2 linked regions of the Coturnix japonica genome follow. The protein of the gene in region 1 purifies or fractionates together with the protein of each later gene. This does not show direct contact. Links are inferred from orthologs where the notes say so. Each region holds a gene or a part of one and is shown in the gene's direction. Other genes may lie near its edges. The genes, in order: MAEA and RMND5A.

Region 1 (3,822 bases):
CCTATGACTTCAAAAACGAATTCTTAAGTCATGGAGAGAACTTTAGGAGAAGTTTTTGTGCTTAACCACTTACACTCTAATTTAGAAGTACATGAAACATGTCTGCATCTCTGTAAATAACCATTCTGACAAAACTAGTCCAATCTGGCCTGCTTTTCCAGTAAGAGGCTTCCTGTATCTATAAGGAAAAATTGGCTGATGAAATGCAAGCTGTGAATGTGATATGCCTGGCACCATTTCTCTGCTTTTTAAGTTTGCCTCGGGGAAGTCTAAGACTGAATATATTCAGCTGTTCTAACAGCTGAAAATGCCACCTATTCCAGAGAGTGGTTTGGTTCACTGCAGCTACTCTAACATTTGTCATACTTAGCATTTCAGTTGTATGATTTTCTGCATTTTGCTGTGAAGTCTCCATAAAAGTGAACTTGTTCCAAACTGGTGTGTTAATCAAATATTTGATAGCGGCTTGTTGCTTGTGTATTGAGTTATGGTATCTCACAGAGTATCTTCTTTAACAAAGTGTGAACTGTAACAGCATGATATGTTTATGCAGCTCAGAAATAACTTCTGGTAGTGCCAGTTCAGAGTGAATCTTATTCATATAATTTGGAAACAAACTAAATGCTTTTTGAGATATATATGGGAAAAAATAACTTGCTAGCCTAGAAGATCTTAAATCTTCCTGGGTTGTGTTATCCTTGGTTGGTACAGATGTGTAAAGCAGCTTGCAGTGAAGTAGCAGAGGTACAAGGCTTGCTCCAGACAAACTTGATACCAGATGCTCCTCTTTAAACATATCTACTTCCATTAAGCAATGGAGGAACTATATACTATAGACATTGGCATAGTCCACTGATGTAAGACAAGCATTGTGGATACCAAGTATTCTTGGAAATGTGGATTTACACCCAGCTGGTGAGATCTTGTCCATTTCCTCGCAAAGCTCCAAGATGTCATCTTTATTTCTTTTTCCTAGTTCTGGTGCATAAATGGGTTTAGAAGAGTCTGTCTTGGCACATGGAGATGCGGTGTTCACAAAATTGTTACAGCAAATTTTAAGTAAAGTCCTTTAAAGATGTCTCTGAAACAGTCTTTTATATCTCCGTGCTCCAGTTGGTTAAATGGATTGCTGTGTAAAATATCAGTATGATTTAACAAGCTGTGCTTTCCTTTTTCTTTTCTATTAAAGGACTTAGTAAATATTGAGATGTTTTTGACTGCTAAAGAAGTGGAAGAGTCATTGGAAAGACAAGAGACTATGACTTGCTTGGCTTGGTGTCATGATAACAAATCCAGGCTCAGAAAAATGAAGGTATGAAAACAATGTCAATGTTTTGCCTAAGCAGCGGTTCTCTAAAGTATTTGGTTATTTGATATGGTCAATTTGGTTTAAATTATAGGTTGTGAATAAAGCCATATGTAAAAGTAAGGGAAGTAAGTACAAAATGTATTTGTTAAGGTTACTGGTGCTGAGCTAGCCCAAATGAATGCCAAACTTTAATGCGATGTGTGTAGTAGTGTCTCAGAGCATGTGAATCTGTGTGTATAGCACTCAGTATCCAGCTGAGAATGTAGCTCATAGTTCATATATGAACAGTGAGACTAATTTGTAAGCCTGTGTCTGAGAGGAATATCATATGGATTTGTCTTAATATTTTTGAAGTGCAATATATGTAAATATAAAACTAAGCAGACTTGAGTGAAGAAGTAGCTTTTTATGAGGGAAGTACTGAGGACCTTCTTGCAAAAATAAAAGCAAGTCTTATCGAGTAACAAACACGGTAAGTTGACTTCTAGCTATTGAGTACTGAGTGTGACCTGAACATGCTATTTCACTGTGTTCCTGTGCAGTTGGTTTAAATTTCCTTGACTCTTAAATTCTACATTTAAAAACAACGTTATAGTCTCTTTCAGGGCTTGCAGAAATCTGTTTGACTGTATTAATCAGAATCTCTACTTCCTTCAGTGGTTTTGGTGTTTTCAAACTAAGCTTTCTTTAAGGAAAAGATATTTAAGTATCCTTAAAGATAAGCAATGAGTGACATTCTCTGTCAATCGGGCACCAAAATGAGAATGAACCAAAGATGGGACACAAGAGTAAAATGACCAGTGATTACCCTAAAGAAAATGATCTTTTAATGGAAAAACCATTAAAGGAAAACCAGAATTGGCATGTAAACAGCATTGCATAGCTATACCACTGGGAAAACATATGTATCTATATAATTTTAATACAGCAAGTTATGGAAGAAATTAACAGCCGAATATCTTTTTTCATCCCTGATCTTTGCCAAACAAGTAAGGATAAAAATTTTCCCTGTCATCCTTTGAGAATGGAAGAAAAATACTGCAAGCCCTACTCAGACAGTCTCTGCAGATTGGGTTTTCTTGGGGGATGGTAGGGGAGAGCTGTGAGACTTTTCTTTACTGCTGAAACATGTTAATGAAATAACTGAGCCATTGGGATTGGTATCATTAACAATTTGGAAAGTTTTATTAATTTTCTTTAATAGAAACCAACATAACCAATATTCTAAATAAGGCTTTTGTGTAGATCTGAACAAAAGATCTTGAGTTCTATTTGAAAATTGCAAATAAAAAGAAATCTTAGTTCTTTGCAAACCATGGACTTGAGCACAGAGAAAGGTGTACTTGGAAAGTAACGTACTTCCCACTCCTTAAACAAATGTACCTTAACAGGACAGAACGTATCACTTTAAGCAGCTGACATTTCTAATCTCAAGACAAGAAATTGCTGTAATGTGCACATCAGAGACCCCATGCAGTTAATTAACTGAAATTTGGAGTTGCTCAAATTCCTCCTGAAGTCACTGAGGGGTTTTGGATGGTATTGTACTGATGGATGATAAACAAAAGGCAACTGTTCATCAGAAGCTTTGGGGAACAGAAAATAGATTTGCCTAACAGAGCAACTCAGTGTAATTCAAAAACACAGTTATTTTTTGGGATTCAGAAAGGGTTCTAGTTTTTGGTTGTTAGGGTAATAAAATAGTTGACTGTGTCCTTATATAGAGGCATAATGGCTTGTTCTTTTAGGAGGGAGAACCTTTTTAATTCTATATATATATAAAATTTTTAATACAGAATTTTTTGTGAACTGATGATGAAATTTGATTTAAAGAGACACTGTCAATTTCATTAAGCTTCAAATTATATTTTCCCCAAGCAGGTAAATGTCACTTGGTTTCCTTGTTTGAGATTTGTTTTCAGCATGGCTTTTAGATGTTTTGACAACAGCAGTGGGTTAGAAGCTTGGAAAAAAGGGAGCTGGGGAGAGAAGGACCACAGCAGTCTAGACTCAGTGCTGCTTTTCATAAGAGGAGGGTGCTTTCAGAATGAGTTTAAAGACTTATTTCTTCCTTGCAGTCTTTTGGGTCAATCTCTCATGTCTTAAATCGGCCCCAACCTTCTACTGAGTTATTGCTTTTAACTTTAAGATAGTACTGAGAACTCACCTACTACTCTTACTTGCATCCCAAAAAATGATGATTTCAGTCATCAAGGAAATGTTCACTTTTTGTAAATACTGAAGTTTGGAAGGAGCTTTTTGTTTGCTTTTAGGGAATTGTGTTGCTGTCTTGTCTGTAGACAGCATTTCTACTTTCTCTGCATGAATACCTAAAAGCAAGCAAACAAGGTTGCATGTAGTTAACACTTCTTTGTTGTGCACACATAGTATTTAACATCTGGAGAAAAGCATGGTTTTGACACCATCTGAGACCCTGTCTTGTCTTTGATTTCAGAGCTGTCTGGAGTTCAGCCTAAGGATTCAGGAGTTCATTGAACTCATTCGACAGAACA
Region 2 (3,822 bases), about 1.0 Mb from region 1:
ACTGACTTAAAAATACGCAGCAGTGGGATCACTGGGGTTAGATCTGCAAAAACACTCTCAGATCTTCAAAGTTCAGGTGCCGGTATATCGAGATCTGCAGAGATGTGGATTTCATAGTCATTGGGAGCCTGGGGAGAAGTGACATTTTCCTTTTCCAGCATTGTCTGCCCCCCCCCAATTATGTCAAAAATTGTCGAGTTAAAACTTTTACTTCTAATTTGGTGCCCTGTAGTGACAGTGATGCATTGATAATGCTATTCTGATTTTGACGTGGGCGATTTTTGTCTTCTGTTCTTTATGCTGTTCAGTTTTCATGTATGGAAAACTCTTTTCTGCAGATACTTTCTGCAGAAACCCATTGCAGTCTTTATTAGTTAACTCCATTTCTCATTTGCTAGCTAACTTGTAATTTGTCAGTGTAGTTCCTTACAGTGGATAATATTGAGACGTGAGATGAGCAAGCCAAAGGATGTCTTCTGTACACAGGAGATAATGAAGCAGCTGACAGATACATTTCACTTTGAACAGGAGGTAATTAAGGGCAAACTGAGTAATAGGCAGAAAGCACCGGAGTGGAGACATAGGTGTCCTGCGTAATGCGAGCAAAATTACACGGGGCTCTTTGTTCCAACCTATTAAATGTTAATTTGTACCTTTCAGAACTTCGACTCTGACATCAGCAGCGTGGGGATAGATGGGTGCTGGCAGGCTGACAGCCAGCGGATCCTCAACGAGGTGATGGTGGAGCACTTCTTCCGGCAGGGGATGTTGGATGTGGCCGAGGAACTGTGTCAGGTAATGATAAGTGTGGATGTTGAATGGTATTGAATGTGGAGCGTTGTGCTTTGTGGTAGCATCCTTATCTGAATGTTAATTTTCCAGGGGAATATTGAAACTGTCAGGAAAACAGTAGTTTAATTGTGTCTTTTATAGGCTTTAACCTGAAGCGTGCCTTTGTTTTTCAGGAATCTGGTCTATCAATAGATCAGAGTCAGAAAGAACCATTTGTGGAATTAAATCGAATATTGGAAGCATTAAAAGTTAGAGTTCTGAGACCTGCGTTAGAGTGAGTCTGCTCTTTTTTTTCCTCTTTTTTAAAAATTCTTTTATTAAATCCATAGTTTTTCACTTTAAATATTTAATCTTTGTTTTGGTGTGTCCTCATTTGTTCTTTGTGACATCCCATTATTGAGCAAACGTTTCCCAGTTGTTCCCTTGTTGTTCCTCCCAGTGGTCAATGCTTAACTAAGGGTCTCTTTCTTAAGAGTAATAGAATCATAGAATTGCCCAGGTTGGAAAAGACCTTAAAGATTATTAAGTCCAACCACAAAGGATTAAGAGTTAATTGAAGGTTTGGGGAGGAAACTTAACCAGGGATCTGTCATGATGGTTCTTTACTGTACTTACAGTGAAACACTATAGAATGTTATGCACAAAGGTCTAGCTGTTGAGGATAATAGGACTTAATAAAGGTGTTGGGTATCACCAAGTCTTCTTTGCTTCACTGAGCCCCGGTGGTGAGCAAAACTTAGATTTAGGATCAACTGTATCGCTTTTTCCTCAAGACAGTTCCCTGTTTAGTGTAGATAAAGGCTGGGAAGAGGGAGTGAAAGAATAGCTATGACCTGTAAGGGCTACTGCTGCCAGGTAGGTGGTCATTAGTGTTGGGACAGAGATATGGCCCTGGTGGCCAGGAAGTGTTTCTGGTGTGTGGGCTACAAGGGGAAATGTGGGCTGAAAGTGTGATCTGAGCAAAACAACTTGGTGAGTCCAAGAGTTGCAGGTTCTGTCTGAGCATTCAGCATTACCTGAAGTCTGAGAGTGGCTGAGATGTTATCGATCAGCCTTAGACTAAGATGTTTTCATCACCTTAATAGACTTCACAACCATTAGACACGTAGGATGCTTCTGTAAGGGAAAGATGATGGAATATCTCATGAACTACTGTCTTATAGTTTCCAGGAGTGGGTACATATCTATTTGGTACAAATCAGAACAGCTTTTATTTTAAAAACAACAAAGTAGCAAACCAACCCTCAGCCTATTTTTGTGGCTTTGGTAAGCTTACTCAAAAGCAAGAATAGCTTTTTAGCAACCTTTTAAATGTGAAAGGCATGGAACAAAACATTGAAAATGTGTTTCAGTCCAGATCTTAATACCAGCTCAGGTGTGTGTCAGTTCAGAGGTCATTGTCATCTACGATACATGCAGGGTGCTCTGATATTCAAACCTAAAGTAAAGGATGCTCTCTCTCTGAGGAGCAGTAAATTATTGCTTGTGTGTCTATATACCTCAACTCACTGTGTTCATTTTAGCTCAGATTACCCAGGCCCTGTGTCTTATTCGTTGCAACTTAGCCATGGCTTTTCATTCCTGCAATGTGTTAAATATTTTTCAAACAAAGGAGAAGGAATGGTCCTTCTTCAAAGGAAGCCTTATTCCCTAGACAGCTGAATTAGATGAAGAATGGAGTGTATTGTTAGTTCAGTTTGTATGCTGGCTTCCCTCCCCCACCCTGCCTCGTTTCTGCTTATAGTGTGACTTTTCAGGGCAAAAACTCTCTGCCTCTGTGTCTGTAAAGCAGAGAGGTTTTGGTATTCATTGTGACCTTTGGGATGTGGATTAAGCTCATTTAATCTTCGTTAGGCTTTGTAAGATTCATCCCAACTCAATTCCACATAGGATCTAGAGGAGAGCTGTGGTTTGTATAGTGTGCAATGTACTTCAAAAATTTCAGGTAGATTTGAGTCACAGAATTGAAAGTGCTCTGAGCATCATTTTGATAGGCGTTAGGAAGACAGGTGTTGTGATTACTGACGATGTTAAACTGTGGTGGGGAGCATGTGAGTTAAATGTTTTAACCATCATTTTCTGCTTTTTCTCTTTCTATTGCAAATCCTTTGAATGGGAATGGAACACGCTAGTCCAAACACCTCAGGCCTTGCTTCTGTATTTGCTTTCTTCTCATCCAAATCAGTGCTGCCACTCAGAGTACAAAAAAGCCAGAAAGATTGCCTGAAAGCTAGTTTGGAAAAACAGTCTCTATTGCAACCAGTTGAAAATAACACAGATCAGGTTTTCAGCAGAGCCAAGTATTGTATCCAGACTGATTTCTCTTCCCCTTGTACCTGCAGTGCATGGACTTGTTCTTTGATGATTCCATAGATGAACTTCCCCTCTCCAGGGCAACGTACACATAAACACAGTGGCTCAGCAGATGATGTTTGGGGAATGAGGAAGTTGAAAAACGTGTTGTTGACAGTGTTGGTCAAAGCTGTATAGCATGCAGCAGAAGACTGTAATTGTTAAGGTTCAGTGCTATTAATTCAAATAGCTGAAATTCATTCCTATGTTTCTACCTTCTATTATGTCTAAATCAGTTTTGCGTTCCAGTTGCTGTGTTAGAAGGCAGAGGCTAACCTATGCAGCATGTTGTACATATATTGTGTGTGCACCATGACTCTTACTTGTAAAAGATCTTAACTCTTTTTCTGTGCTCCATGTAGGCTAAGTTCAAGGAACAGTCATCTTGAAATAGATGCTTGATAATTGTAATAATTTGATATCGTGTGGGCTGACATCTAATTACTCCTGTTCCGTGTCCTTTTGTACCTCCTCGTTTCTTCCAGGTGGGCAGTATCCAACAGAGAAATGCTTATGGCACAAAATAGTTCGCTGGAGTTCAAACTACACAGGTTATATTTCATTAGTTTATTGATGGGAGGAACAGCAAATCAAAGAGAAGCACTTCAGTACGCGAAGAACTTCCAGCCATTTGCCCTAAACCATCAGAAAGGTAAGGTTTTATTTCCCTCATTGTGA

Evidence for each region.
Region 2: the proteins of MAEA (region 1) and RMND5A purify together in Homo sapiens (affinity purification with mass spectrometry; 5 studies listed by BioGRID and IntAct, counting the BioPlex papers as one, with this or other methods). This does not show direct contact. The link is inferred for Coturnix japonica from reciprocal best matches to the Homo sapiens genes MAEA and RMND5A.

Annotation. Positions count from the first base shown.
Region 1 is NC_029519.1:76,606,909-76,610,730, reverse strand, and holds part of MAEA (E3 ubiquitin-protein transferase MAEA), read left to right. Parts: intron 1-1,189; coding exon 1,190-1,312; intron 1,313-3,764; coding exon 3,765-3,822.
Region 2 is NC_029519.1:77,639,685-77,643,506, forward strand, and holds part of RMND5A (E3 ubiquitin-protein transferase RMND5A), read left to right. Parts: exon of another isoform or gene 1-76; intron 77-422; exon of another isoform or gene 423-453; coding exon of another isoform or gene 454-531; intron 532-660; coding exon 661-795; intron 796-965; coding exon 966-1,066; intron 1,067-3,629; coding exon 3,630-3,796; intron 3,797-3,822.